2 linked regions of the Bombyx mori genome follow. The protein of the gene in region 2 interacts with the protein of the main gene of each other region in a biochemical or structural test. Links are inferred from orthologs where the notes say so. Each region holds a gene or a part of one and is shown on either strand. Other genes may lie near its edges. The genes, in order: MOB kinase activator-like 1 and serine/threonine-protein kinase Warts.

The links.
Region 1: of the proteins of serine/threonine-protein kinase Warts (region 2) and MOB kinase activator-like 1, one has a biochemical effect on the other in vitro, tested with the Drosophila melanogaster proteins (2 studies listed by BioGRID). The link is inferred for Bombyx mori from reciprocal best matches to the Drosophila melanogaster genes wts and mats.

What each region holds. Positions count from the first base shown.
Region 1 is NC_085112.1:814,750-831,278, forward strand, and holds MOB kinase activator-like 1, read right to left. Parts: upstream 12,169-16,529; 5' UTR 11,989-12,168; coding exon 11,975-11,988; intron 11,693-11,974; coding exon 11,526-11,692; intron 9,464-11,525; coding exon 9,236-9,463; intron 8,536-9,235; coding exon 8,372-8,535; intron 7,672-8,371; coding exon 7,591-7,671; 3' UTR 477-7,590; downstream 1-476. Other genes in the region: cytochrome c oxidase subunit NDUFA4, read left to right, coding at 13,194-13,235, 14,093-14,239, 15,354-15,410. UniProt on the Drosophila melanogaster protein: Coactivator of Warts (Wts) kinase in the Hippo/SWH (Sav/Wts/Hpo)signaling pathway, a signaling pathway that plays a pivotal role in organ size control and tumor suppression by restricting proliferation and promoting apoptosis.
Region 2 is NC_085112.1:13,709,532-13,724,953, reverse strand, and holds serine/threonine-protein kinase Warts, read right to left. Parts: upstream 12,414-15,422; 5' UTR 12,123-12,413; exon of another isoform or gene 12,090-12,122; intron 11,780-12,089; exon of another isoform or gene 11,753-11,779; 5' UTR 11,503-11,752; coding exon 11,251-11,502; intron 9,272-11,250; coding exon 7,156-9,271; intron 7,079-7,155; coding exon 6,792-7,078; intron 6,554-6,791; coding exon 6,131-6,553; 3' UTR 5,127-6,130; downstream 1-5,126. Other genes in the region: T-complex protein 1 subunit alpha, read left to right, coding at 645-872; bphl-like protein, read left to right, coding at 2,579-2,668, 2,898-3,155, 3,405-3,558, 4,088-4,343, 4,979-5,072; thioredoxin domain-containing protein 5 homolog, read left to right, coding at 14,486-14,625, 15,168-15,304, 15,420-15,422. UniProt on the Drosophila melanogaster protein: Negative regulator of Yorkie (Yki) in the Hippo/SWH (Sav/Wts/Hpo) signaling pathway that plays a pivotal role in organ size control and tumor suppression by restricting proliferation and promoting apoptosis.

The sequences.
Region 1 (16,529 bases), about 13 Mb from region 2:
CGCTCGGGAAACACCGTGGAGGGGAGCTCATTCCATAGCCGGATGGTACGTGGCAACAAAACTTTAAAAACACGCTGTCGATGAACGCAGCGGTTCCACATGATATGGATGAACTCTGCTCCGATGGCGGGAGGTGCGATGATAAAAAGGAGATGAATGGATCATCTCAAACAATTCCTCAGAGCACTCCCCATGGAACGTACGGTACAAAATACAGAGGGAACCGAAATCCCTCCGCAGACTCAGAGGTTCCAAACGATCCGTGCGAATGGGATTATCGACAATCCGAACGAAGACTTGATGGAATAGCGTTGTTATGCAACAGGGACACTTCACCTGCGTTGAATATGTTACATTTTATTCCTTCGTGGTGAAAATCTTAAATCCGCCCAAACATCGAAACAGAACAATTAGAAATTGAATTAAACCACCTCGTACATACTAAATAGAAATCAAAATAATAAATAAAATACAGATTGATATAAATTATGTACACATTTATTTATTTGATAAACTAAATTTAAATTAACAAAACTAACTTGTGTTAAATGTAATATTAACTCATAACACAAAATTAAATGCACAAAATATCATTATCAATTAATAATTATTATTTTAGCGAATTACATCGAGATGAAAATAAATTATCGGAAATAATTTTATTGCACAAATTTATTTCTCGGACTTCAATTTGAAATAAAGCAACTTTTTTTTAACTGACTGAGGTGATCATAATTCTCAAACTTAATTTCTGCAATTCTTATAACATATATTATTGTGAAAATGGCGAAGAACTATAAATCATGATAATTTTAAAACAGTAAAATTATAAGTTTTAAATTCATGAGTCAGCGGCGTGGGATAAATTTGTTTCATGCACTTAGTTGAATTTGTCCTAAACTCATTTATTATATAGAAAAAAGAAATCATAACAATAAGGGCTGTCGTTGAAAGTACAATTAGATCATTATAGTTAAATACAGTGACGTCATATCGCAATATACATAAAACTTATTCAATGTACATACACAATTTGAAACAGCATAAATTGCAATAAGTTGTGATAGGATATCCGTCGGCTTATACATTAAATCATAATTTAGGTTAACACAGTTTAACCTCGTTTATTATTTCAGAGATTTGGAAATTTTCATTATTTTATTGGTCACGCATGACTATTGTCATTCGTTACTTGCAGAAATTTTTATTTGGTATAAGCTATATATGCTACTTTACAGGAGAGCCATTTAAAGTTTAAAATTTAGTAAAAATATAAAACTTCTTCAGCTATCTGAATGGAGTAAAGTTAATTGAAGTTCAATTAAAAACATCGAACTGTTGATGCTAATACCAAATAAAACGCATCTTTAATTACAAAGATAAATGTCGCGTGTTAAGCGAAATGTCGCTTAAAGCAAATAGCTTTAAACCCTTCGATATCATCAATGATGTATCTACCAATAAATATTAAATTGACAATTAATAATGCTTATAAACCCCAAAACAGGTAATGGGAGCAATGAAAAACATTAAATGTGTTTTTATTGTGTATTCATTTCAAATTGAAGTCATAATTTCACACAATCGAATAAATAAGGGCAAACAATCCTCACTTCGTCAATACAAGTATGTTTATAAACTATAATTTTCATATCAAAGCTACAATCGTTACAAAAGATAAATCACATCTATATAATTCTTATAGCTTAAGAAGGCAATATTTCGTTTAGATTTTTAAATTACTTATTTATTGCGTTCAAAAATAAAGCGCGCAAAAACTTACAGTCGTAGTCAGTAATGGGTTTTTGCATTTTTGCGTATTAGTTGAACATTTGTTCTCGACGTTTCGCAGCGGGCCGTATTATTTGAGAACTAAATCTAATTTTGAGTCAGAGGGTCTGACATTTTTTATTAGACTAATAATAATAATTGGTAAACGCGTAGCACTCAATTGAATATACAGCATAAGAGCACCGTCCTTTAAAGACAGAATTGTTACATCGTACTACTTAGGGCCTGTGCATACCACATTTTTTTAAACACAAAGCGGTTTGTTGTCGTCTGTATCGATACAAACGCGTATTTGGATTTATACAGGTGTGTAAAGGTCTACAGGCTTCCTCTGACTCGCGTGCGTATCGCGTGTGTATCGCTAAAAACGCGCGTCGACGACGCGTTTAAAAAACGTGGTGTGCACAGGCCCTTAAAACAAACTGACGATAGATTTCGTGAACACTTTGTAGCCTGTTCTGCGCGTCAGCTGATTTGAAATTAAGTTATAGTAACCGGCAAACTTCGTGAGCAAATGACCTTGACTGCGCAGAACCGAATTTTAGATCACTTTGGTGGTGAGGGTGAGGCGCGACGGCAGGGGAAATCGTTTCGAGCGCGTTATTGGTAGATCAGTTGAACCTTGCGTCCCGCACTGCGCCCTCATTCCGCTTGCTCTCAAAAGTACGCTTGCGTACAGTGGAAAGTCTATCGTTATTAATCGTTAAGTTATTTGTTATAATTACTTGTGGACTTTGTTGCCATTGCTATTTGTTGAGTGTTTGTTGATTTTTTATAAAACATACACTATGCCGCGACAAACCGGTGTAGTATTCAAAAGAAAGGGTAGAAAAATTGTGTACGACGTATATTGCTTCATTATAAAACAGGGGAAGAATGATATGGAAAAATTAAAACAAACTTCGGAAGTAACAAAACCATCAGTGAGTACTGTTAGGTGCATTATTAAGGAAGCTAAAGGCTCTGGCTTGCTCGCCGTGTTTCGGACTCCGGGTAAGAAAAGATCAGGGAAGAAGAAAGTTACCGGAATGGATAGTTTCGTTCAATCTGTAATAAAAAGATGTAATCATAATAACTACATAACAAGCAGCGAAACTCCGTACCGTAGAAAGGCTTCGAAAAGTTTAATTTTAATGGCTCGGAATGAAGCTTACGACGTATTATGAAAGAGCTAGGCTTTAGATGAAAAAAAAGAACAGAAAATAATCGGAAGCTGGTAATTGAAAAAAGTAGCATTCGATTACTACGAATCGAATATCTTCAAAAAATAATTAATTATAGACAAAAAAGAAGACCGAATCGACCGAGTTGTAAACTACACTATGTCGACTAATCACGATGATAGCGACTCGGGTGATGAAAACAGTGATGATGATGATGGTCAAGATTATGATAACGAAAAAAAAATTACAAATACCAGCTTCGCTTCAACTGAATCAAGACCTGGCAACAGCTCTAGTTTTGACTTAATAGAAGGAATATCTATTTTACCCCAAGATTAAATTATTACAATTATTATAACCTATATGTTTTGTTGATGTTCTAATAAATATATAAATAAATACATATGTTAATTTTAATAATTTAATAGCATTATGACGCAGAGTAAGTAATGTTTTTGCACGTGAGTGTACCATGCGCGAACTTACCCCCACTACGTCAACAAATGCTCAAGAAGTTTGCCGGCTATTATACATTGCGTGTTGTACATATTTTTTGTGATATGTCGCACCTTTAGAGTTGAAGTGGCTTAACTAAAAATTTTAAGGAAATGATTTTCATAAACATGTATTTTGACAGTTTATAAAATTAAAATGGGCAAATAAAAAATTTAATTTTAAATTTTAATTAGAAAAAGACAAAGTACACTTTCCTCCTCTTTTAAATCAAGCGTATATCTTAACTTTTAAGGTACCTATGCGCTTAAAGTATTTCAAAATTCATAATATTTAACGTATTTAAAAACCAAAATTAAAAATTTACAATTCTTCAATTGCATTTTTGGCATTTACAAAAAAAAACAACACTAATTCTGAAGGTGTAATGTGTCAAAATGAAAATTAATTAAGTACATAATTTTGTGATATTTTTCAAATTTATTTATTGAATACTTGTGCCATTGAACTTTTAGGGCGACATCGCCTCAGTATGAATACGGGTTTCGAAGGAAATCTATACATCGCCCGGCAGACTGTAGATCGGTCTATGGGAGGTCAAGTCGCCTGTCAACATTACACGCATTATGCTGTCGCCATTGTCGAGCCCCATACGTACATAAACTATGACGGAAAGTCTAATTTACCTAACTAAGCATTAGTACTGAACTTATCTAATGAGCGTGTATGGCAAAGGCAATTGTAGTTAGCAGCTTGGCCCTGCCCCTGACTTTGTTTACGTCCATTAGCGACAGTAACTACTTAGCTCCGTGTGCCGTATGCTCATCTGCTAACAAAAGCAATAAATAAAAAACATCGGATCGCCCGCTTTGGGTCCAACGCGCCCCGTATGGCGGCTGCATATCTAAAGGCCTCAAGCGCGCCCTAGTAGGTACAAAGTTTCGATTAGGCATTTATAAAATTTAAATGCTTCCAACTTGAATATATTGGAAGCAATATTGATATGTATGATTTGATAAGAAAAAAAATTTACATAGGTTGAACAAAAAGGTCTGAAAAGTAGTAATGTTAAAAGGACGCTCATTAAACAAATACGATCAGTCGATTACATTTTTGTCCAAGTTAATCATTTAAAATTACAAATCACTAAATAAATCGTTTAACTTCAACAGTATTTTACATCTATGTAATATATAGTCAACGCATGACGTCATATGTGGCTAATAGTAGCGTATTTGCTGTTCAGCCGCAAACTATCCGACCCCGTATACACGGCGTTTCACTAGTTCAAAGGTAGTTACGTCGTAAGTGCGACCTTAGTACGAATGGTGCGGACCACGGACCGAACTGCGCACCATGCGCTCGTGCAAAGCAAGTTAAGTCCGATGAAAATATCGGCATGACACTTAGCAGTCCGCAAACAGAAATAATCTTAGTTTAAAAAATACTATTCAAATAAAGACGGAAATCAAAACTATATCACTTATGTTATTTATTTCATTACGGAACAGTGGGATTCACAAAACGAACTGTAAATATAAATAAATGAAGATAAAAATTAAATTTAAATAGATTCAACAAGAAATAAATATAATGTCAGAATTAGTTATAGTTCAAAAATTTAATATTATCTGATACCAATAGGAATTGAACTTGACAAAGGACAATTTAACCTTAATCATTAATCAAATAAATTGTTTAAATAAATTCATCATACGATAATACGTTAGTCAAAGTAAATAAATATGTTTAGTACCATTCTGTGATTAGAAACTAGTAACTTACTATCATAATAATATGTTTTTATTAGAAGAAATACATACCTGCACAAAATATTCTATTTATTGTTAAATAAAAATAATGCAAACAAAATAATTGATTCATTTACTAGTTCATAAAGATTTAAAGCTTTGGATGTCACACCATCATTTGTGACATCAAGTCAAGTTTTGCAATTACTATACCACAACGACCACGGTATTTAGAAGTATTCGAAATCTTTCACATAAAAAAACCAATACGACTAATCCAAATCACAAAAGTATTCATTTAATAATATAAGCGCTTCTTTATTGTCTCCATTGCACGCTGCATATCTTAGCAACGCAAGCCCGCACTGTATTTGTCATTTATTAGAAATCTTTAATACGATTTGAAATGTTTCCCAAGTGAGGATGTAATCGCGGCAAATTTTCAGTTCATTTTCAACAAAATATTCAATAAATATTTCAATAACAATAATCAAGGTATTTTATTTTATCTTTGTGTAAATTTAGGATATTTTTTTCAGAACATTATTTACATAAAAAGTTCTTAGAAAGCGGAGAGAGATTTGATACACAAGGCCCTTATTTTATAAAATAAATGGCGATTTTAGAAAAGTAAGAACTCATTTCTAAATTAGTTAGTATGGTGGACGGTATTTAGCGCTTATAGCGATGTTTTTTAAATAATATTGTCGGTAGTAACTGTTTTTAAATTTAAAACCAGCATAATTTACATAAAAATTATAGGTAGCGGACATATTTGATTATTTTCAAGTTTCCCGTTAAAACGTTCGGAACTGTCATTATTGAATACGTCATACTTGGGTTACTAAATACAAGGAATGACAAAATGCACATAATACCCAAACGCAACAGACACAAAGTAATATTATGGAGACAAAAAACCCAAGAAATGTGATAATAATTATTTATACGAATTATCAAATGCCCATTTCTCGTATCTATTGTGGCTTTAAGATAATGGAAGGTTATTTGGCGCGATTAGATCCCGATAAAATTGTTTTGCAATTCTTTCTATTTAATGAACATTTTTGGGTTGTAATAAACAAAATCAAATTTAATACGCGTAATGTAATATTTATAAGCATTTCAATATACTGTAGTTTGATTTCAATTAGAATTCTTACTAGTTAACTCGGTCTTTGTATACGATGATCAAACCTCGCGCGGAGAAAGGGACACTACCGTTGTGTACATATATCGAGGAGTGAAAGTTTTTGCAACATTACAGGAGAGCCATTTAAAAATTAAATAATCAATAATATATAAACGGAATTATAATAAAGAACTTTACGCGGATGTTTTATTTACTGAGTCTATAATACGATTGTATTTTTATGAGGAACTAGATTTAGCTCAATCCGCGCATATCCCGAAGATACGTGATTATTTGAAAATGCATTTTATATTTGAGGCCATCAGCGCAAAAGTGGCCTAACCCTCAATTTTTTATATTCAAGCTTATATGACGTGTATTGGAATTTATTTAAAATATAATAAATTTTATTGTAAAACTGGCCTGTCCATAGTTTCACCCATAGATAACAGATAGCTTTTTAAACATTAATTTTGCGTGTATTGTTTTTATGCCTACTCAAATTCAAATTCATGAAAATTCAAACCTAATTGCCGCCATACTAACAGCTTAGGCCACTTCTGAGCTGACGGCCTCATTTATTAAAACATAAGCACAGCGCGATTCAGAAAGCTACGAACGCCATCTATTCAGGACAGCCGCGAGAGCACCGTTTCTAAAAACTTTAATAAATTTAAATTGAATGCCCTTGTACTCTGTTTCCGTATTGTCGTGTTTTTTCTAACAGCTGTGCGTACAAAATATATTAAATAAAATAAATAAATAAATGAATTAGTTTTTTTGTTTTCTAAATAAGCACTAAGCGTTTGATATCTGTACATAGAAGTTTCTGTGTGATGCATGCACAACGACAGATCTCAATTTTTTTGTTTATTCAGAAGATTCAGTATCTTAATTAGAAAATAAATTATAAAAATATTTACATTGATTCAATGATAGTGCTATTAGAAAAGTTAAATTTGTTTAGTGGGCTGACAGTATCTCTGGACCGGAGGTCTCTCCGGAGGGTCAAATATATAACTTGAATCTGTTGGAGCTTACATACAATAAGACTAATAATTAAAATCAAACTACATTATAATTAAATTTAAGAATAACTTAAATTATCGGCCGATGACAAAAAAAATACTACATTAGTTTATGCTTAAAAATTATGAATATATCACACACTAATATAAAAAAAAAATTGATTTACAGATCTGTGTGTTGTCAATGTTATTATCAAGGCCGACTAGATAGTACAAAAATATCTTTACAACCTGAGTAGGTTAGGCCGGGTGTGTTGGCTGGCGGGCGACGCTCATCGCGCGTCCTTCGCTGTCAGTTTGTCGATGAGCTCCTGTAAGGGCGCTAACTCTTTGCGCTCGATCAGATTAAACTCCTGAAAGGTACAACACTAATGGTAGTGGAAGTTTATTTGTTAAGGTTCTATCAGAGGTAAAACTGAGAAGAATATCCGGCAAGAAGCTCAGTGGGCTGTGTCTATGGGTGACACGTCATTACAGGTAGATCCGTAATGACGTGTTTAGAGCGACGTGGACCGATTGGTAAGCAGTCTCCCGATACATTAACGGTGCTTTTAGTTACTTCAAGCACCGGTTATCTTCCTCGCCGAATCCGTTGCTTGCGAGGAAGGGCTTGACGAGTAAATTAACCCATAGTCATTCTCAGTGGGTCGCGTTTTCGATTTAGTGGTAGATTCTGCGAAGCACTGCTCTTGCTAGGGCCAGTGTTAGCAACACTCCGGTTTGAGCCCCGAGAGTTCACCTACACGCTAGGGAAAAGCTGATATAGCCTCTCAAGGCTATCAGCTTAGGTAGGCAAACAGACAAAAGAAAAAATTTAATCACCACTTTTTTCAACCATTTCTGAAGTCTACAAAACAACAATGTGTCTAAAACCGGACTGTATATTACTTAGCAACAGGCTGAGTGTTGGTGTCTGTCCGTGCGAGTTCATAATAACGCAATAACTAATCTGATGATACTCTGAATTTGCATAATTATCTTGTTAATTAATTATGCTTATTAAAATTTAGCCTAACTGCATACATAATTTATGGTAGTGTTAAGAAAGATTACCTGTACAAAGAATATAAAATGTTTGAATGACGTATTGAGGTGAGCCTCTTCCCCCAGCTGCACCACCTCCGGGAAGTGCTGGTGGTAGATGTGCGCGTACACGCGGAACAAACGCTTCAATATAGTTTTTGCCATCAGTAGGAAACTCTTCGGGAATGGCACACCTTAAAAAATAATAGCCATTTTGTTACTCATCATTAAAGGTATGCTCTTTTATCTCCTATTTTTTTTGTTGCTTACATGGGTGGTTGAGCTCACAGCCCACTTGGTGTTAAGTGGTTACTGGAGCCCATAGACATCTACAACGTAAATGACACCACTCACTTTGAGATATGTTTTTTAAGGTGTCACTTTTTACAGTACAACAGCTGCCCCACCCTTCAAACCGAAACACATTACTGCTTCACGGCAGAAATAGGTAGGGTGGTGGTACCTACCCGTGCGGACTCACATTACGTCCTACCACCCGTAAACGTATCAAGCAAACAAAATCATCTTTCAAATGTTAGGTAACTGGTGATTAATGCAGAGGTCCCGTACATTAACTGAAGCCATTGTGCTGGTTCATAGTACAGTTTCAAGTATAGTAGACACAATGAGTCTACTGCAGTGAAGTTCGCCCGGCTTAGCTTACTATGCAGTTATAGTAATGAGCAATAGATGTTAGTCAGTCAGTGGTTAACGTGCAGCGATCCACCGCGATCGCTGACGCGAATAAACATGTACTTATAAGTAATGTTTTATTGACCGCTCCGGTGAGGTTTCCGGGGGACAACACACAACAGACACTCAACTGATTCACACACCTCGTCCTCTCCGAAAAACCTTACAATTTAATCATTATATTATGTACATATTTCTTACCAATTTTCGAAGGGAACAGGGTTTCGTCATCAAGCTGATCCTGTGCCCACGTCATCAAATAATCTATATACTTTGGGGCCGAACACTTGATAGGTTTCTTCACTGTGTGTCCGTCAGCCCAATGGTATTCATATTTTGGTCCGGCAGACATGACAGCACATGACTCCTCTGTGCAGAATTCTGTTATGGTCCCATATAACATGTTGATCTGATTGAAGAAATCCACAGCTGGGGAAGTATGTCTTTTTGTTATTCTTAATTTTATTATTAAATATTTGTATTTCTAGATATGTAAACTAATTAAGCTAAGTCCGATGGGCTCGCTGACCAAAGTAGGGTGTGGTCCTCCTGCATTTCGGGGGTTATGCAAGGGGCTGACAACCCCTTCATGTAAAAAAACTTTTGTTACGAAACCGACAAGAAAACAGAAACGATCCGATAAATCGGAGGCCAAGACCCACTTCGGGGTCATAGCGCCAGCTCAGTAGTAGTAGTAAACTAATTTTATTTTAGTCTTTTAAGTCACTGGATTCCACAATGACAACAGTATAGCTTTGGTAGCCAAAGGTATTCCAGTTACGGTCGGAAGGAAACTAGCAACCTCTGTCTACTACTACACCTGCACTCACGAGACCTGTAGTAGTATAATTATGCTATTCACAACTAACCCTTTCTTCTGAAAATCATCCTGCGAGCCAACTGTAATTTCTCCTTAATCTTATTGATGGTTTTTTGTGAAAGCACCTAGGTACTACCATCCTACCTTTCTGCAGCACTACAATAATGTATTTTGCTATAAAAGATGGGACATTTCTTATGGATCCTATTAAAACATTGAGCTCACATCATCGTGGGATCAGCAGCAATGACTTGGTGTCTGTGAGCTCTGGTAGTCACTTAACATGATAAACGCCATGTGGGCCTAACGTACTATACCAATCTCGTAAAGCCAAAATCAGGGAATAAGTAATTTTAATCAACTTTTCCTTCTAAAATTTATAAAATGCTATATTTTGCATGGATGATAAAAATTAGCAACCTATATATACCTTCTAATTTTAAAATATTTTAAAAGGCTACAATCTTGATAAAAACTACAACTTGCTATTGCATTTGAAAACCAAGGCATTCAGTTTGGCTGAAGGGCCACACAGTTTCCATGAGCGTTTTGTTTGATAGCTGCAATCTGTGGCTTGTAGGAAGCGTTTCTCACGTGGCTCACCCTCATGGCCCAAACGGTTCAGCAAGATAAGGCACACCAGTGCGCACTGTGGCCTGAATGAAAATACTTGAATTCAAAGTAACTACTATGTAGGTCTAATAAAAATCTGTCTGACTATATTTCAATTAAAACATTACACATAAAATACACAGTAAACTTATCAATTATTATTGACATCAACAGGAAACATGTAAAATTATAAGTGGCACAATATAGAAGTAAATTTATTTATCATAATGAATCATCTGCTACCTACAATAATGACACAATGCTCTATTCAATGCTATGTTTTAAAAACAATCCTCCTTTGTCGTGACATGCAGCAATTAAGAATGGTCATCTTTTCGTTTTTTCGACCTACCTACTTTAATAGCAACCAGAGATTCTGGTTCTATAGTCTCAAGCTTTTTATGGGAAGGGGCAATACAGTAATTAAAAGGCTCATTTGAAATTCATGTTTGATTTTTTATACTTTGCTTGATAATGAAGTTAATATGTCAATCAAAAATATTTTTTTTAATAAGTCTCATTACAAATGTGGCAGAAAAAATCCCTTCTCAATCCCAACAAATACATCTACAGCCCCATCCTAGCCCCTTGAATTTAGTTATTTTTTGCACTACATTAAGTAATCACATATTATTGACCTTAGGAGGAAAGTACAACTTTCTAACCCTCATAATATTATTAAAAGGAATGAAACCAACGTATTGATTCTGATGTGATAAAAAGTAATTTACTAAAGACTAATACTTTTTAATATTCTGTAATTGTGTAATAATATCATGTGCTCCAATTAAAATAATCAGAAATATTTTTATCCCTTTAGAATTGAAGATTTAGTTTCTTACCCTACTTTCAAAGGCAGAAGTGTCACTCTATTCTTACTATGTACACCAAAGATATTCAATAAATTATTCTACATTTGAATGTAACTCAACAACAAATAACTAAATGACTTTGGTAAATATTTATCATATTTTCATTCTGGTTGTGTGGCGTGCAAGCGTTCAAGTTAGCCAGCCTCCTTCAAAATTTACTTAGAATGTAATTGGATAATCCACTCACTGTTCACGGCAACCCACTCATTGAGGTCCTCCCCTTCGGGTAACATAACAGCGAGGCGCAAGTTCCCGGAACCAAGTGTGGCTGCTGCGTGCCTCATCAAATCGTACTGATGGGTGCCCTCAGGAATATTCTTCTTTGGTTTGAAAGTTTTGTTTGAGCGACTACCACTGTAATAAAAAGTAAACTAATTCTTGAAGGTGTTTTAGTAGGTTTTGAAGGTTCAATACTGAGAGACAGGATAGAGCGGGCGGTAGTTTTTCGACATCTGTATCTGAGTAGGCCGAGGCCCTGCGGGGGCGCCGAAATCGCATACATTAAGACATCATATTTAACTCATGGCTACTGAGATTATAGCGTAGACGTAAACAAGACGTCAGCGCTTTTCTCAGCGGAAGACGATCAGTTAAAAATAGATCCGGTTAGAGCATTATTGACTCCGTAATACTCACAATAGGAAGCTCATTTTGACCGTTTTGTATTTCCTTCCTTATCTAAACAATAAATTAATCACAAATTTAGCACCAATTTATATAGATAGGTTATTTTATTACAAAGAATATTTCAATTCACTTGTTCACAAATTGAATACAAAACATTTGTCAAAAGTTCATTGCATTATTTCAAGTTCCATGCAGATTGCAGTTCCCCATTATTCTTTGGTGGGTTTAGTCGATCAATCGATTCCAAATTCATAATCGAATATTCAAAATGTCAAACACATCCTACAGCAACAGCAACCTACTTTATTTGAAATTCAAAGAAGCGACACTTAAAAAAGACAAACATTTACTTTTAAAGTATTTAACCTACGAGAGAATGAGACAGAATACTATCGAATTATTCGCCTCTATCGCATGCATGTACATCTATTTGACAATTACATGGTGCTTGTATCAATAGTGGTTTAAATATAGGCAGTTATCTATCGTTTTACAGGCGTAGTATTTAAACAGATAAAACTGTAAGTCGGATACAGCAATTTGGTACTAAAGTTAATAACTTGTGTAAGCTGAAACTGAGAATAAATTTAAAACCAAAATTTAGAAAATAGCTAGTATAATTCTTAGATATTGTATCTATTTTAATCAATCCATTTAAAATCGACTATGAATTGAAAGCAGAAATTTTCCTGTACGTCCCCACATTTAATATCTATGCACGGTGCTAGAAAGTTTATTTGTTTTTTATAACTTCGACTGAACGAGCACTTGACCCACCTGGCGTAAAGTTGTTACCAAAGCCCATGGACATCTCAAAAGGAAATGGCACTACAGACCTTGAGACATGAGGTCGAAGTCTGATTAATATACATATTATATGTTTAATGTGTAACTACTGTCTAACTTTTACTGCTTTGCTGCAGAAAGAGACAGGATTTTGAGTACTGTAGACTATTTGTCAGAAATTTAAGGATATAAGTTAGTAGTTATTGCCTCAGTGAATTCTACCTATTATGTGTATTATTTATTAAATTATTTTTTTCATTCCACCTCATTTCGCTGAAACCGTTGGACTTAAGCAATAATTTATCGGCTGTCAAAGTCAGTTTGACATTTAAATCTTGGCAGAGTATCCCTGTATAATACCTGCAATCGATATCGATATCGACAGCAATATTCAGTTTGTGGACAGTTTTTTCTAATTTACAACGCAATTAAGTAATTCAAAATGCAAGGACTGAGCCTCTCAAGTTTGAAGAAGCATAAGGCTGTAAGTTTAACTGGTTGTTCGCACTCCAGAAGATTGTGCGTTTCACTTGCACTTCTTACATAATCTAACCTATTTTGCAATTTAATTTTAAGTAGAGATAACAAAATATTTCATTCTTAATACATTTATTCGTTTTCTAGGTGTATAATTTCGAAGTTGAGCCAAAGACACTTCGTACGCTTACAAGTCATTAGTTGGAGTAAGCTTTAAACAAAAAAAGATCTTAAACTTAAATGTGTATAGAAATACGGTAGGCTAATAAGTCAGGATGGCGGCCCTTGGGTAATTAATGTATAGATAATTGTAACATGAAATAATCAAAACACTTTGGTAAATAAAGCAAGAAATACAATTACTTTGAAACATTCAAATATTGCAACCTTTGGCGATTTATTTTATTTAAATATGTAAAATATGATAACATTTTTATCATAAATTAGAGCTTATTGTCAACTATCATGACATTGTTCTTCTATTTGATTGTATGAAGAAAACTATTCAATTTTTAAAATCACATAATATGTTTTATTACCTACACAAAACTTATAAAAACTATAGGGACACTTCAGTAAGGTTTTATATAAAATTAAAATGGTGATAAATATATAGAGTAGGTATTTGATTATTTGAAATGCAGTAGACAGTTCTGATTAGACAGATACCAAAATTGATCAGAAAGCAAAATAATTGTGTATTAATAACATCAAATTTTGACAATTATTATTGAATGAAAAATGAATAACTATGATTTATCTTTGATAAGAATGTTCCATCAATGTTCAAATTATTACCTAAAACATTTTTAACAAAGAAGGATTTGTTACTCCACAAATATTAATAATAATTAATAATTGCAGTTGATCCCTCTGTATGTATGTGTGGGGATAGGATGTGGTGGAGCTGTGTTCTATACTCTGCGTCTGGCTTTGCGTAATCCTGATGTATCTTGGAACAAGAAGACCAACCCTGAACCATGGGAGGCTTACAGGAACAAGCAGTACAAGGTATGAAAGTACTTGTATCATTTAAATTATTAAAATCAATTATTATATTATATTTATCATTTGTTAAATCATTTAAAAGCTAAACCAGGGGTGTAAGTGATAATTATTCTGAAATAATAACCATTCCATCCTTAGTGTGGAAACACTTTAAGAGTAACTATTTACTACAACAATATTTATTTAACAGCTTTCTTCCTTTTATTTTAATCTTTTCGAGAAAGTTTAAAAGCTGAAGTTATCCTTGCTTGTCATATGAATTTGAGTCATTAAAACATTTTGCAAATCAGACAAACCGGAGAATGATTTTTGTTATATAATTGTTGATTATTTTTTTCCTTATATTTATCATAAATCTAACAGGGATTATATAACAAATCCGTTGACATTTAAGTTCAATACATCTTGTATATGGATTGTGGGTAAGCTTAAAAAATATAAAAAATTAGAAGCCGCGTCAATAAAGAAACGAATCGAAAATGGCGTCTATGTACCTGCACTGACAGATAGTAGGGTCAACAAATAAAAAGAAAGATAGAAAGAAAAACTTGTTTATTGTAAAAAAATATAAAAAACAAATGAGAATTTCCTTTCTTTAATTTCTCGAGATTATTTTCCTCTTCAAAGTATTTAATAACGTTACACATGATTTCACTTGCATCACTGTGAAGGACTTTTCCTCGTTTGTGAGAGGCCATATTATTTCCAATCAGAACTGATATTTTTTTTGCATTCAGTATGTGCCGTTGCCTAAAGACAGCAATAGTTTAGAGTGAGAGTGCATGATTGCCGCCGCCATTTTAGATTCGTTTCTTTATTGGCGCGGCTTATATACACAATGATCTACATTATCACTATTATACATACCCCCTACCTACCTACTCTTAATATTAATTTTATTCATTGTTAGACTTGTTATACTTCCCTGTTACTTGTATTTTAGAAAGACTACTGATGCAGTTTTAACATTAAGTTTTCTTGCAACAGTCCTATCTGTGGCTGAAATAAAGATGTATAAAAGCAAACAAACCATTGTTACCCAGTAGTAGCCTTTATAATTCTCATTCCCCAAAATGTACAAATCAACTAAAAATAATAAGATTTTTTTTCTCCACAGTTCTATTCTCCCATCAGAGACTACTCTAAGGAGGAATCTCCTGCCCCCAAATACTAAACTGTTTTTCTAATATTGATCAGTTGTATTACGAGAATTTTAGTTGTATTAAGTTAAATAAATAGCAATAATGTGATAATCGAATGAGTTTTATTTAAACATACTATTAAATTTCTTTTTTTTGTTACATCAAATGCGTAGTTGTTTTACAGAACCACGGTTAAAAGCGCGGTAACTAAAGTTAATCGCATTAAAAGTTACCGCGACCTTAATTATACATGCTAGCTTAATAAATGGTAACCATAGGTTCTATAGCTTCTGAACTGAAGTGGCTAGAGTAAGCCCATACAGAACTTCAAATTCCATTTGAAAGACATGTCCAAGTGGTCAGAAAACATCATAGTGATGGTATCATCATCCAGGCTGTGCATCGTTAACCACTTAACACCAGTCGGGTCCCGACAATCTATAAACTTAATTTTCAATAAAAACTAAAATACTACATACTACTACACTCATGGAAAAACAGAATGAGGGGTCGAATAATAAAACAAAATTTACGAACGTTACATTTTATTTAAAAAAAACATTCAAATACAATGAATGAATGGAAAACTATAAATATTATTTATATAATTAAATTCAATACGAGATAGGCACGAATGCAAATAAACTAACTCCTACTACAGACCTTTTGTAACTATTAAATCATTATATTTTAAAATAATGTAAATATTATGTAATAAGATTATGTGGTCATGAAATAAAGATAAGCGTATATTTTTATTTGATTGCGAATAAAAATGATGTACCAAATACCCATTAGGAGGTTTCTGCAAATCATATTCTGATTATCACAACGCTTCATTTCCATAAACAAGAATCGATTTTTAATTCGATTTCAAATCGACCAATTATTATTATGATTTTATTAAAAATATATAACTTTTTCAAAGGAACGAAAACTATAGTCTCCGAAAGGCTGAAACATTACTCTCCGATAGTTTAAAAAATCTCAAAGACTTTCATTACCTACTTCTTTTGTAAGCTTGCTTCAAATTGCGATCTTGTCTCGAACTAACAAATAATTGGTGCGAACGAGCTGAGAGTTTTCTTAGGTTCGAATCTTTTAGAGAACACACGTTTTAAGGATCATGTTTTACTCTGTATGTATGTTTC
Region 2 (15,422 bases):
AGCTCAGTAAACAAATAATATTTTCATAACAAATTAGGGCCCTGGTTTATTGCCAAGTCTAGATTTTTTTTTAATAAATAATAATGAGAACCAATCTAATCATTAAATTCGTGTATGTAAAATTATCGACCATGCAGGATAACTAAAAATATTCCAGTAAATGAAGTGAAACTTCTTTATCGACGTAGGGAGGAAAAAACGTATGTAACGTTTTTCGGTTACGCGTCATCTTAATTTCTTCCGTTACGCGCCATGTTTTTTTTTATTTCTATTTAGTTTGCTATCAACTGATGTCGCTGCATGTAAATTCAACAATTCCTGAATCGCCGCGAACGACATGTTACACAGTTGATAGACGTTCTCGTATTTCTCTTGCTAAATCATACCTACCTAGCGTCAGGATACTGGGATCATGCAGGCGGTTCCCCCGGGGTGCGGCTGCTCCATTGCACTGCGGAGTGGTTGACCCTTGCGATTATTTTTATATTTTATAAGTTTCACTTCTACCGTGTATACTTGCACACACACACATTTTTTTACAAATGGAACTGAGTCCTGTTTCATAGCAAGGCGACAATTCAAACCATATGATCACATTGTTATAAGTGAAAAATAGTTTAGATCTGGTTGACTCTTTATTACAGGTGGAACACGCAAACCTCAAATGGGTAGGTCTGGATCTAACAGAAGGAACACTCCGGGACAACCTCGCAGCCGGAGTCCTCGAGCCAGCGATATCCAAGATCAAATCGTTGAAATTCGCAACAGAAGCTGCGATTACTATTCTCCGTATTGACGATATGATCAAACTCGACCCCGAACAAAGAGGCAAGAGCTATGAAGACGCTTGCAATGCCGGTGAACTGGACTAATATCAGTTACCCCGCAAAACTTAGTGCATTTAGACTATGTAACATAATGCGGCATTATGAAAAGAACATTCTATTTTCATACCTTTGGCATTATCTCTATTGAAACTTCTTGCTAGTGTCGTCGCCGCTTATAGTAATAACTTTCATACAATTTTAATTTGTAATTTGTATCCTACTTCGAATAATACGGAATTTCGATTCAACCCAATTCCATGGGAGGTTTGAATAGTGACATTTAATATTTTCAAATGGTTAGCCATTGCTTGTTACAAAACACCACACGAACCTAGGATATATTTGTATTATCTTTAAATTACATTCAATAATAACTTTAGTTTGTTAAAAAAAGTCTAAAATATTTTGTAAGATACGAATTAATGTCATATCTGTTACTTTAACACTACTATCGTAGGTAACGAAAATATTGAAAACGTTTTGGGAATCTACGCTGCGATCACAATACAATCTCTGAGTGCTTGAGGTGCCTGAACGTAAATTTTATTTTTATATATGGTAAATTCTAAAACAGACTGTAGTTTTGTTAATTGTGTATCTCAATAGTGTTATCCGATCTTGCAAAAAAATTGTAATTCGTTTATAGATTGTCACAATTCAACTATGCATATGAAGGAATGATCATTATATTTATTTTGTCAACCGAACGGTTAATTTGCTTTTAACAAACTTAACGCTAGTTTATTTGCTAGGACGTAATGCGTCATCAATTAATAAATTTTAATACAATATTGATTTGTTTTATTTTTACGAAGGTACATTTTTAATTTCATTGTTCGTAAGTTTTGAAGTCGATCACCTTTGTTTCCCTACATTTTATACAATATTTCTCATTAGGTAATATCCTAGCCGTATTGACTAAACAATTCATTTTATAGTTCTTGCCTAAAACAAAACTTGTATATTTAGTCTACATATTCATGGGTATTCTCTTCAGGTCAACCTTAGGGTGTTTGGGACTGACACGGTCCATGTCCATGGTTGTTGATACACCCAAACTTTAAGTAGGTAATTCATACATTTAAAGTTTCACCAAATAACATATAAAATATCTTAGATACAAATTATAATACCATTCTAAAGGTCGGCGTTCCACGTAAGTATGTCTATGTTCTAAGCAATGTAATTGAAGTACCGTAGAGTATGTATACCTCTATTGAAACTTTAGTTTTGGCGGGCTTTTTGTCCACCAAAGAATATAAAAATGTGCTTAGTGAGGGCTGCCAGTAATCATAATATATTAATTCAATTTTATAAATTTTATTTAGGAAATTCATCCTCGAGTCGTGTGCTCGCCCTCGCCTTGCTTTAAGTTACTTCAATATAATGAGAAATAGTGGTAACCACTGTTTCAATTACGGTATCATACATTCACTCTTACTATCATATCGATTAATTACCCAATTAAATAATTTAGTTTTGGTTGAAAAATCGATATTGCGATTTAATGATCTCAGATCACATCCCTAGTTGATAACAATGTTGATTGTTGTGTGATTGTTGATCATAGATTAATTCACAAGCATTATTATTAAATTATTATATTAGCAAATATATTAAGTGTCTATTCGATGAAGTTGAATGTTATTAATTAAGCGACAATTATCGAGCTAGTGAGTTTTTTAAACTAATAGGTACATCGGTCCTTACGGAATAAAAAGTGACTAAGAAAGATTTCATTGAAACTAAAAATGCTGATAACGCTTAGAAATGCAATTTTGCGTACTACGAATTGTATTAAAATGTTACATGCGAAATGTATGTCTACGGCCGTTCCAAAGGTGAGTAAGAACTAATTTAAACAATACTGTGCAATATTTAATTTTGCTCATAAATGTTATTATGATAATCATATTATTTGATTATTGTTTGTGAAGCCAATTAGGTGATATATTATTGTCATAATTCGCATTTAAGTAAAAGTATTTAGTAACACTTTAAATCATATCTTATTAGTTATTTATAAACATTTTATTCATAACCAAATAAAATATTAAGGAAATGTTCTAGGAGGAGAAAGTTAAAGTATCTGGGTGCAATATAAACTATGTCAAAGTTGGTAAAGGATCTCACAATTTAATTTGTTTACCTGGAGCCCTTGGAACTATCTGGACCGATTATAAACCTCAAATTGAAGGAATAGACAAAAATGATTTTACATTAGTGGCATGGGATCCACCAGGCTATGGTAAAAGTCGACCTCCTATGAAGCAGTTTGATGTTGACTTCTATGAAAAGGATGCTGACTATGCTTTTAATTTTATGAAGGTAAACAACAGTGAAGGATAAACTGCCTTTATAAAAAACTCAATAACGAAATACAAAGAAGTCTTAAAATATTGACAAGTATAAGTTTCCAGATATTCAATTCTGAAAATTTTTGATCCAGCTCTTCTGTCAAGTAATACTCTCTAGAATCAAACCCAAACAGTTTCCCACAATCGGAAAAATGTGATGTAGTTGAAATGATCAAAGTGTAGCAACAAAAGACTGGTTAAAATCTTCATATTATTTTAGGCACTAAATATTCCCAAATATTCAATCTTAGGGTGGAGTGATGGAGGCATAACAGGGATAATACATGCAGCAAAATATCCTGAAACTGTACAAAAACTAGTGATATGGGGAAGTAATTCATTTATGTTACCTCATGAATTAGAAATGCTTAAAAGTAAGTTGGTTAAGTAAAATTATGATTTAATTTTGTGAGACTGTTTATTTTTATTAATCCCACTGTTCATATCTACATACTTTGCAACCAAAATGAAAAGAACATTTTGATGGTTAGATTTCTTGGTTGACCTGGAAATTAATCTAACATTGTCCCCAATCACCCATCTTTCATAAATTGGACAAATCTTAACAGAGGTTACCACACCTTCGTGTATTTCTAAGAGTAACTGGGTTACAGATTATATACTTATAAATACACTATGATATTATATATTGATGGGAATAAGTGGGGTGGTGAAGGCAATGCTTCCAAACCCACTGTTTCTATCCAGACTAGACAGATTTGAAAATTAAAAAGATGTCCAAAATGTGTCCATTGAAAAAATTATGCCAATTTTTTTAACAAATTATGTTATAAATATTGCATTTTTCACCTTTTTCCTGTTTCCAATATGTTTGTACCTAAAACAATTCAATAATTTTTAATTGACCAATTTTTTAATTTTGAAATTATCTTTATATTTCAGAGATAAAAGATATTAAATTGTGGTCAAAGAAAATGAGACAACCAATGATTGATGTGTATGGTGAAGAACTATTTGCAAAATACTGGAGTAAATGGGTTGAAGGCATGGAAAATCTTTTCAATAAGAAAGATGGCAATATATGTTCGGAATTACTGAAGGATGTCAAATGCCCTACCCTTATACTGTATGGAGAAAAAGATCCTTTGGTGGACAGAGTTCATGTATCGCATTTGCATACTCATATTGAAGGATCACGGTAATTATTTTATTAATATGCTCACAGATTGCCAGTTTTATTTATTTTTATTGCATGGATGGGTGGACGAGCTCACAGCCCACCTGGTGTTAAGTGCTTACCAGAGCCCATAAACATATAACGTAAATGCCGCCACCCACCTTGAGGTATGAGTTCTATGATGTCAATATAGTTACAATGGCTGCCCCACCCTTCTCAGTTAGTGGATATCATAGCACATAATGTCACAACACAACCTAATTAATTTGTCACTCAATTTAAACAAGAGACCAAGACTTAATTACATTTAGAAACTTACCATTTATCATTAAAAGTTTTCACACAAAATGTCATGCATTAAGGCTTATTCTCACTTTATTATTATTGGTTCTATTAATTTTATTTCAGTGTTATAGATTAAATGATATGCTCATTCTGGTTAATAAATCGAAATCACTTTTCATATTATTACTGCGGTTAAGTAATTTTATCTATTCGAAACCCCAAAAAAAATTTTTTTTTTTCTTTATTCATAATATTATTCTTTATTTATTTTGTCCATAGTAGACCATGTTGGACCTAATGTAAGTTTTACTAGTTGATGGGATAATATGTTAGATATTTATTGAACGCACTGTATTTATTTTTGTTTGCAGAATACATTTGTACCCCGATGGGAAGCACAATATCCACATAAGTTATGCAGAAGATTTCAATAAAAAAGTTCAAGACTTCCTTCAATCACCCTAATAATAAGAATAAAATTATTTTTGGTATTCAAATCTGAAGGGCCAAACGAAAAAATATAACAAAAAATCCCATATTTTATTTTTCATTTACTTCTTATAAGCATGTTTCATTCCAGAATGAAACAATTTACATTTGATAACACATAATTTAAAGTTTTTGTAATGACTCGTTTGCATTTTACTGTACAAAGGGAGAATATTTAGTGTTGCCAAAAAACAATTACTGATGATAAATATTTTGCTAATACATTCGTAAATTGAATATTGTTAGTGTAAACATAAATAACTTAAAGTTGCACGTTTTAATACTAGCATTTGACTGAAATGTGCTCATAGTATCCGTTTGACAAACTAAAAATCTTCGAAAACGAAGATAACAAGAGTTCAAGTTGTGTTAAATAAATACGTATTGCACTCTTTACACGTTGCCGAGCTGACTGCTAATAAAGTCGTACAAACATTTACTTCCCCTAAATACACTTTCAATATACAATTCTTCAATACTAAGGCACACAATATGAGCTAGTGTCCAACAGACAAATGGAAGCACAGTACAACTTTACGCCGATTCCAGTTTGATTATTTATAACGACTTTATAAGTTACAATTATATAAACAAACACACATTTTAAGCGACCTAACATGATAAATACATAAGAAAATATAATGACACTATCAAAAACATTTGCTAGATCAAATAAGCTTTTCCTTATTTCATAAATAATTTCTCTAGTTACAAAAATACAGTATACAAGTGAATGAAACGATATTAGAACGAAGCACATTCACGGCCCCGTCAACAGCACCATCAAGAATTATGCACTACTACGATCCATCCGTATATATTACACTCGTATAATATTACCCTTACGAACTGATAACGATACAATATTACAACATTATCACCGGGATTATTAACATTTTTTTTATTTATTAAATACGTTATATTCGTTACGTTTACAAAACTTACTAGTGTTTTAATAGAGAGAGTCAAAGGCACACACTTTGTAAAAATATAATCCTATGAGTTAGTCCGATTGTCTATTTGCACAGTTGATATCACACGTACACAGGTCCTTGATTGTCATTGTCATCCAAATTGATTTTGCTCGTATAGCCATCATCAAAGAATCTTCTGAATGTGAACTCAAAGAAACCATGGAAAGTCTTGCCATTGTCTAATAGTTCACTGTCTGATTTATTTGAATCTGAACTACCAGAGTTCCTGAGCTTATCTGGATCAATGGGGTCGAAGTTGGATGTGTCTGTAGGGTATTCAATCCTCGGGATGTAAGGAGCAACCTGATTCCTCAATCCTTTGTCAAAATCGATGCCCTTGAGGAAGGGATGGTTTTTTACTTCATTGGCATCTTTGCCAAGCCTTGTGTCTTGACCAGAACATAGCTGCAGAATGAGGTCTTTGCTCTCTGGGGATAAGTTGGCTGCATCAGGTACGTGTAGTGTACTCTCCCAATTGATCACCTGAAAGTTAATAAATAGAGAATTTAGATAAATTTTTTAATGTTTTTTTTTTCAGAGCAGCCCTCTTAATGATTTAATCAATTGTTGGAAAACACAAAAATCACATTGAGAATGTCATTAAAATAAAAGCAATATCAGTGTAGACTATGGTCTATTTTACTAGATCTTAACAAACAGCTTATCAAATTGTACTCTATTTTGTATCTATCATAGAACATATCATAAAGTTGTGTGTTACCTTGAGTTGCGTCTCTGCGGGGGTCGGCGCCAGGAACGGCGGCGACCCAACCAACATCTCGTACAATATAACTCCAACCGACCACCAATCGCAAAGCTGCGTGTATCCAGTCCGCTGCAAGACTTCAGGCGCAATATAGTTTGGGGTTCCCACTAACGAATGGGCCAAACACCGCTGGTGTTCTCTTCTCCGCCGCCTTTCTAAGGGTTTGAGTTGATAACATCGACATTCGCCCATAGCCCCCCATTCTCCATCCACTGGATCCATTGAGTCTTGTCGTCCATGATCTGAATACAAAAAAAAAATGTAACACCAAATCAATCTCTAAAACACTGCATAAATTTTACAAAAAACTGTCTCATACCATTCCTTTGATAATATTTGGAGTTGTGCGTCCATCTAAAACCGGTGCATAGACCAAAATCTGTTAACTTTATATGACCATCACGATCTATCAATATGTTATCTGGCTTGATGTCTCTGTGGATAAAACCCATTTTGTGCACGCTTTCGACAGCACACGTCAACTCTGCAATGTAGAACCTAGCGAGATTCTCCTCGAATATTCCTAATTTTATTAATAAGGACATAAGGTCCCCGCCCGGTATATAGTCCATTACAAAATACAGATTATCTTTATCTTGGAAACTGTAATAAAGCTTGACGACCCATTCGTTGTCTGCCTCCGCCAATATGTCTCTTTCGGCTTTTACGTGTGCCACTTGATTTCTCTTTAGCACGTCAGCTTTCCGAAGTGTCTTCATGGCATACAGATGACTAGTATCGATCTTTTTCACCAACGTCACCTCCCCAAATGCTCCCACACCTATAGGCTTAATCTTAGTAAACATAGACTTGTCCATCTTGGCCCTTTTCAATCGAATATAATTGGATTCCTTCTGGGACAGCATCTTTCTCATCTGACACTGAGCTTCTGCACTTAGACCTATTTTACTCATCTCCTTTTCGAGTTGCATCCTTCTGAACAGTCTCTGTTTATAAGATTTCAAAACGTTTTCCACATGCTGTTCCATAAAAAATTTGAAAGCTTGCGGTGAATAATTTCGGACTTTACAATCTCTTCTCTCGTCTTCTTTTTCTTTACTGTAATTTCTGCGTTCCGGTATTGGCGATTGATGCCTTATCTTATCTAACATTTTTGGTCGTCTGTCCGATGATCCGTTAGAGCCTTTGTCGGAGCCGGAGGCCGTGACGTTGTCTTTTAAGAGATTATTCGTACAGTTCTGGTTGGGACACTTAATTTCGTGCGGCCCTTGTGACGATTCAGGTTTACCGTCACAGTTATTCGAAATTTTCTTATGTAAAGGAGAATGGTGGGAATTAACAGTAGTCGTGTTGTCGGCTTGGTTACCGTACGGAGGCGGCGGGACGGGGTGCATGCCGCGTTGAACGGCGAGCACTTGCATCGTGATCGCATAACTTGGTGGCTCCGTGGTCGGGACGGCGGGAGGAATCGCAGTAGGTGTGGAGCCAGGAGACGACGGCTTCGGTGCCGACGGGTAGCTGGGCGGAGTCTGTGCCTGCTTCTGTTGGATGGAGCTCGCGTACGAAGGAGGGGGTGGGGGTGCTCCGGCACTGGTGGCTGGCGGTGGGGCAACCGGTGCTATCGCCGTTTGTAGTACCGGTTTCTGAACTTGTGTGCTTTTCACAGACTGCATGATGATAGGAGGCTGCACCGCTTGTCTCGCGGTCCACGCCTGGAGCGGCGTGGGGCGAGTCATTCCCGCGGCTGAACCAGTCGATTGCGTTACCGTAATTGGACTCGGCGAGCCGGCGGAGGTGCCTCCTGAATAGATCCCCGAAGATGGACTCTTCCTGTAATCCTGCGACTGGGTTGGGCTTTGACGATTTTGGATAGAGACCGAGTAGGGAGGAGGTGGCGGCGCACCCGACATCGGATACGGCGGTGGAAGTTCGCCGCCGCCACCCGTTTGATAGATACTGAGAGCTTGTATCTGCTGCGTAAGCTGCTGTTGCACTTGAGGTCCATTTTGTACAATCATGGGTTGTCTGGCAGGCGGCGTGGGTGCCGCGGCCGCCACGGGACTGGTGCCCCGCGCCGGTGGTAGAGGTGGCGCCGGCGACATGCGCTTGAGCAGTTGCTGCACGGAAGGCAGCACCGGCGGCGTGGACGGACATCGCGGCGGCGGAGGTGGCGGTGGTTCTGAGAAACCTGAAGGCGAATACTGTCGCGATAGCTTCTCGTGTGGTAGCGGCGGTGGCTCCGATTGACGCGGACTATCAGACCGGGAGCTACCAGCACCTGAATCAAGTGCAGGACTACCACGATGTAGATTTATCTCTCTCTCTAGACTAGGTTTCCGGATAAGTTTGGTGCCAAGAGCACTCAAGTTACTGCTTTTGAGGACGCCGTTGAGAGGTTCTTGCTGTTTCGACAAATAATCGAGAGCTGCATCAAAACGCCCTCCTGCATATTTGAGTGCCCTCACAGCTGGGTCCTGAAATGATTTTTTCTAAATAATATACTCATTATTCAAAAACAGAAGCAAAACAAGATAATGAAATTTTACCAAATTGATTATAATCTAAGTACACCGTGAATATCTCTTCTGACGGTGAGTGGTTACTAGAGCCAATAGACATCACAGCGTATATGCGCCGTCATCCATCTCGAGACAAGAGGTCTAATTTTTCAATTGTATAGTATATTAACTGTCCTGCCCTTCTAATTAGAGCATATTACTGCTTGACAGTAAAATTCGGTAGGGTGGTGTGCCCCACCCTGCAGCGGCAGGTACAAACCATCCATCTAATAATAAAAAATTCGGGCAGGGGGCTTAGGGGGCGCGTAGAGTATGTGGGTGTTGATGGTCCGTAGACATTGGGAGAGAACCGCAGGTCCAAGAACGTTTAGGGCCCTACCTACCAAAAGACTCTCCTTGCACTCTCTCCCCCAACGCCCGATCTTCGTCTGGGTCCAGTGCCCGAGCAGAGTAAGGGCAGAGTAACATTATAAATTAACAACCAACATTCGATCAATGGATAGTTGACGACCAACAAACCTAGTCTCTGTGTGGTAATATAATAATAATGGCATGGCAAAACTAGTATACCGAACTTCTTATGTAGATCTTGCTTGGAGTTTTTATTGTAATTTTGTTGTAGATTGTAATATAATTATTATCTTGCTGACTTATAAACTTTACATAGACAAACTATGTGAATATAATTCCTATTTTACCTCATTCTAATACTATTATATATGTTGAAAAAAGGATTTATTTGAGTACACAGTAATGTAATTTTTCGCCTGGGAAATTTATGAGAACAATTGTGAAAACTAAAAATTAAATTGATATTGGAGATCTTGAAAACTTCCTGCTATCAGTCACCGATGATACTAATAGCTAGAAGATACATATAATCCAAGACGGTAGAAAAAAAAGCATGTGTAGAATAATTTTAAAAAAATCTTTTTTTATCATTAATATTAGATTTTATTATTTTAGGCTTTATAACTAAGCCTATAGATCACAATAGGGGTTTTAAAAAATCTGAACACGAAGCTGAATTCAAAAATGCATTAAAATATTTGACAGCCTGCCCTTTAAACCAGAATACATGGTTAAAGTGTTAGGTATAGACAGAATATTGGTATATGACCATATTTATTCTCAAGACAATATGCATTTACAACATGCACAATACAATAATGAAAATAAAAATTAAAATCTTGTGTTTTTGTATTGTGAATAAATTACTTCTCAATTTAATTCTGGTCAACATTATATCCAAGAACACAACCTTAAGCATTCATTTTATAACTGTTATGACTATAAATTTGATTCAATTTAAATTATGTTTAACATGATTGTTGAAAATGAAAACAAACTACCACTGGTTTCATGATTGCCTATTCCTCATTCCACTGCAACCAGGCAATATGCAAGTAATTAGCTTGTACTTATAGTGTTTATGTTTAATTAAAATTTCTCAGTTATTGCAAATAACAATAACTTAAGTTTTACTCAAACCTGGTTAAAGATTGTCCTTAGCCTTGGTATTAATGAAAATGGACATTAATCACCAATAAATACTGATAATATCGGCCATACACTGCCTTCTACATTAAAAGTTGATAGTCTTTCTTATTATATTTTAATTGTATTATAAATTCCATGTATTTTTATATGTATATTTCTTCTGTGCGTGTGTTTGTCACTGAACTCCTCCTAAACGGCTGGACCGATATTAATGAAATTTTCTGTGTATCTTCAGGTGGATTTGAGAATGGTTTAGATTTATAAAGCAACCCGGCACTGCAGTCGGTATCTTTCCTAGAAATATTTTTATGGCAAAACAATGCCAGCCAGTTTTTTTATAAAAATTAAAGATAATGGAATAATGACACTAAAAAAACACTAATCATATCTGTTATTTAGAAACACTTTTAGCAATTCATTATAACTAAACTCACCTCATCATAACCCAAGGCAATAAGTTGGTTCAAGGATTGAGGTAGCACATTCAAGTCTTTATCGAGTCCATTTCCCGAAGAAGAACTAAACCCCGAACTCACTCCTGAACTAACTGTGCTAGCAGCTGATGAACCTGGCGGTTCAGAGTTTCCAATGTTCGCAAAGGGAAGCAATGAGTTTCTGATTTCGGCAAGCGCCTTCTGGTGGTATCCGGAGCGCGTAGCCGTTTTGCCGGGCGCCGGCGGGTTCATGGCGCCCGCGCCCGCGCCCGTGCGCCTCACCTCTCACCCCACGCCTCCCATCACATGAGCACACCCCACACCCTGTACATATCCTTGTTTATTATCCTCCGCACCATTTATTCAACACTCTAATTAAGACTCGCAGCACTGTCACTGTCTTTATTATCGAATTTATTTCGTTTATATATCGATTTCCTCACTAGTCAGTCTGTATCAACATTGCTTTTTGTGTAGCAGCGTGAAAGGTACTTTCTTTTAACTGAAAAATATTTTTAAATATTAGTACCTAATCAATTGAGAATTCCTCTTGCTTTAGATCCCTTAAATTTTATGTGATAATAAAATAATGAGTTAAATAAGTTAGATGAGAAAAGTTTGACATCTTGGCAACAGGATAGGGATATGATTTGTCGACTTTATACAGAACCTGTTTACAGTATCAGACAATTCGAGTACACAATTTTTAACAGTATCGCATTCTATCCAAGAGTACGAGGATGTAAGGAATGTCTAATGCGAATCAATCATGACATAGACTTGTGGAATTCCAAAATTAGAGGGAGCTCGGAAAGCAATGTTTCGTTCATTCAAGGCACTAAGAAGAATAATTAATTACTGTAATTCATTACCAGGCACTTTTTCACTTTCTGTAAATCCGTATTATATGCACAAATGTCATAATCCCATAAAATGAAATTCAGTTCGATCGACAGCTCTCACATTGCCGATGACATCTTTCTTGCACACTTAGTTTTGATTAGTCGCATTAATTTTTATACGGAAGAGGCAATCTGGAGTCGATAGAGTTGTGCTTTAAAGCGAGAGTTTCTAAGGAAATATGAAAACAAAGGACTCTAAAACACAGACATGCAAGTTGGCAAACCATACAAAGCGACCATTTTGAAGAATTACCACATTCTTTAGTGTGTTCGGATACACAGAAGATTAAATTCCATTTTGTTTGACGACTCTTTTTCGTAAAAAAGAACCCAGCTAAAGCACTCATCTGCTTACTAATGTAGGAATTTCTCTATTAAAAGTAATAATCAGACCTTTAAAAAAACACTTCTACAGAATTGTCGAAATGAAACTGTATCCGAATAATAAGAAAGTCACAGGCATGGAGTAAGTACCTAGTCACAGGACTCACAGCAAAAATCCTAACTGCAAAAATTCTAAAGAAAAAAAAAAGAGTATAACGGTCTAATTCTAAGACTGTTAAATTAAGAAATTTCTATCTGCTATTGCCTAATTCATTTTCTTCATAACAAGGTGACACTCTACAAAACATGCATACGTTCCATTGTGAAATAGGCTTGGAGTTAATAAGGAAATAGGTAAGTGTAGTGTTCGCTCACGCGTCCCGTTCACACATGAACTCTCTCCAGGTTATCCAATCCCATTTCTGCAAAATAGCCTTCGGAGCACCGTGGTACGTAAGAACTAATTAGTTTCTATCAGTAAAAACCTTATGGAAGCGTCGGAACGCTATTTTGATAAAGCGGCGTGCCATTACCTTTCCGCTTCTCATTACATATCCGACCCAGGCAACAGGGCAACCTAAAGCCGCCGTAGCCATTAACATATTCTTTCCGATCTTTCAGGTCCACTTTCAAAGATTCTTCTGTCGTTCGCTGTGCACGTTACTCTCTGCTGTGCTCGACGTATGAAATAGCTCATAGACACCACCCACTGAGATCTCGCCGGATCTTCACGGAGGGCTGTGATTCCGATCCTGTGTTAAATTCAACCAAGTACATCTCTACCTGAGGCCAGTGCTAGGAATTTTTTTAGGTTGTTGCTGTTGTCAAGTTGTGACTTTTTTATTTTTTTATTTACTGTTTCATCAGGTTTAGTATGTTATGACGGTGGTTTATTAACATTTTAGTATCTCTGAAAGTACACAAGGGTGGTTAAACGAAACAAAATAGTTGGATATTGCTTTTTGAATTCTTCCAAAGTCCATTGATCTTATCTTGTCATCCTTAACCTCCGAACTACCTATTATAATAGGCGGCGTGCGGCAAAATACAAACACCACAAAGCAACCAACGGTGGTATCCTTGGCGTCGTATCTCGCGAAAGTGTTGCAGGTCCCCGGTTAGGTGGTGAACAAATATGGCCAACGGTTCGCCCTTATTGGTGTTTGACGGCGATATATGCCGCGGCTTTCTTGTTGCGGTTCAAAGTCAACAGTTCAAAGAAGATCGTCGCAAATATTAACTCGTGCAGCGAGCATGAGAGGAAAGTATAAATAATACACATAATATCAGGAGAGCACAGATGAATATATTAGTTGGAGGAGAGTACAAAAGTTATGTGTATTATCTATGAGTACAACATTAAACGGACAATAAGTACGGCCTGTGTTCCAGCTGCGCCAGAACAATCCCGCACCGTGCCGGCTCCCTTAAGATTTTGTTTAATTCCAACCATTTTACTAATTATTTCATTGGTATGGTATTGTTTTATCTCAGTTCAGTTAATCCACATATCCTTCTTCAAACGAGGCTTGTGCAGAGTACTTAACGGCGAGAATACTTAACGGTAGGCAGCAGCTTGGCTCTGCCCCTGGCATTGCTGAAGTCCATGGGCGACGGTAATCACTCACTATCAGGTAGACCGTATGCTCGTCTGCCTATAAGGACAATAAAAAAGATATCTAATTTAATTTTTGATTCAATTTTTTATCAATCTATATCAGTTGACTTTCCACACAACAGACATAGATTCACCTTTGTTATAGAATATTACTGTGTATGTTATATGTGCTACGTTCCCTGTGCTGCCAATAGACAAACCAAACGAAAAAGTTTGAAGTGCTGTGCAGCAAAGCAAAATTTATCCAACAAATACGAAATTATTTGTTGTTTTAGATTTAACCTATTAGCTACTTAACTAATGAGAAGGAGAAAAGATATAAATGAAAACAACCTAAAAAAGTTACCTCAATTCACAGAGGCATTGTTTAGAAATATATTCCTTCACCACAATGAAGATATTACCATATCTATTTGTATTTCCGTATCTTGTAGCTCCTGAACAGAGTTCTGTTTACGAATACAATCCCAGTAATTTCAAATTCCAGATCGAAGAAATGGATGGAAACTTTATTATGTTTTACGCGCCATGGTGAGAACAATAATTGAATTTACATTATTCCTTTCAGTGATTAAATTCAAAACAATCTACATATTCATTTATTTATGATAAAAATTATACTAAATATTGAATCGAAACGATTTTATAAATAAACTTAATCTAATTTTCTTTAGTTGACCGAAATGTAAATGGTATACCGTAGTGACATCGATGAGGCCTATTGTGTGTGAACCTCTAATAGAAATTGAAAATACGAAGATCACAGCCAAGCTTCCGTTCAAAACAAAAGATTTGAATGCCCTCAATAAAAACGAACTGATGTGGGTAGTGGTGAAAAAGATCCTTCATACTTATTGACTAAACTACAAAGTTAGATGAGCATTTTTACAAAAAGGCTGACGACTGATTCAATGAGGGTAATTCACGATATAAAATTAAAAAAGTTGTTAACCATCCACAACTAAAGATGTGTTCCAAGAGAGTTTCAATAAAATACTGTTTGAAATTACCATAATATCTATATTTTTTACCATTACGGTACTATACCATTTACAGAAATTATATGTTTTAAGGTGTAGACATTGCACAGAATTTTATCCGATATGGTCAGAATTGGCAGAGCTGGTTAATACCAAGGACTCCAAATTTGCCATTGCCCAAGTTGACTGCACAGTGCATGCTAAGCTTTGTCATGAAAATGAAATAACAGGTACTTAAGTAAGCATACACATAATTTCCTTGTTTTTAAGTATGTACATAATAGAATTTTTTTTTAAAATAGGTACACTAGTTGATGGTGTAAATAAATTTGAAAAAAATTACAGGTT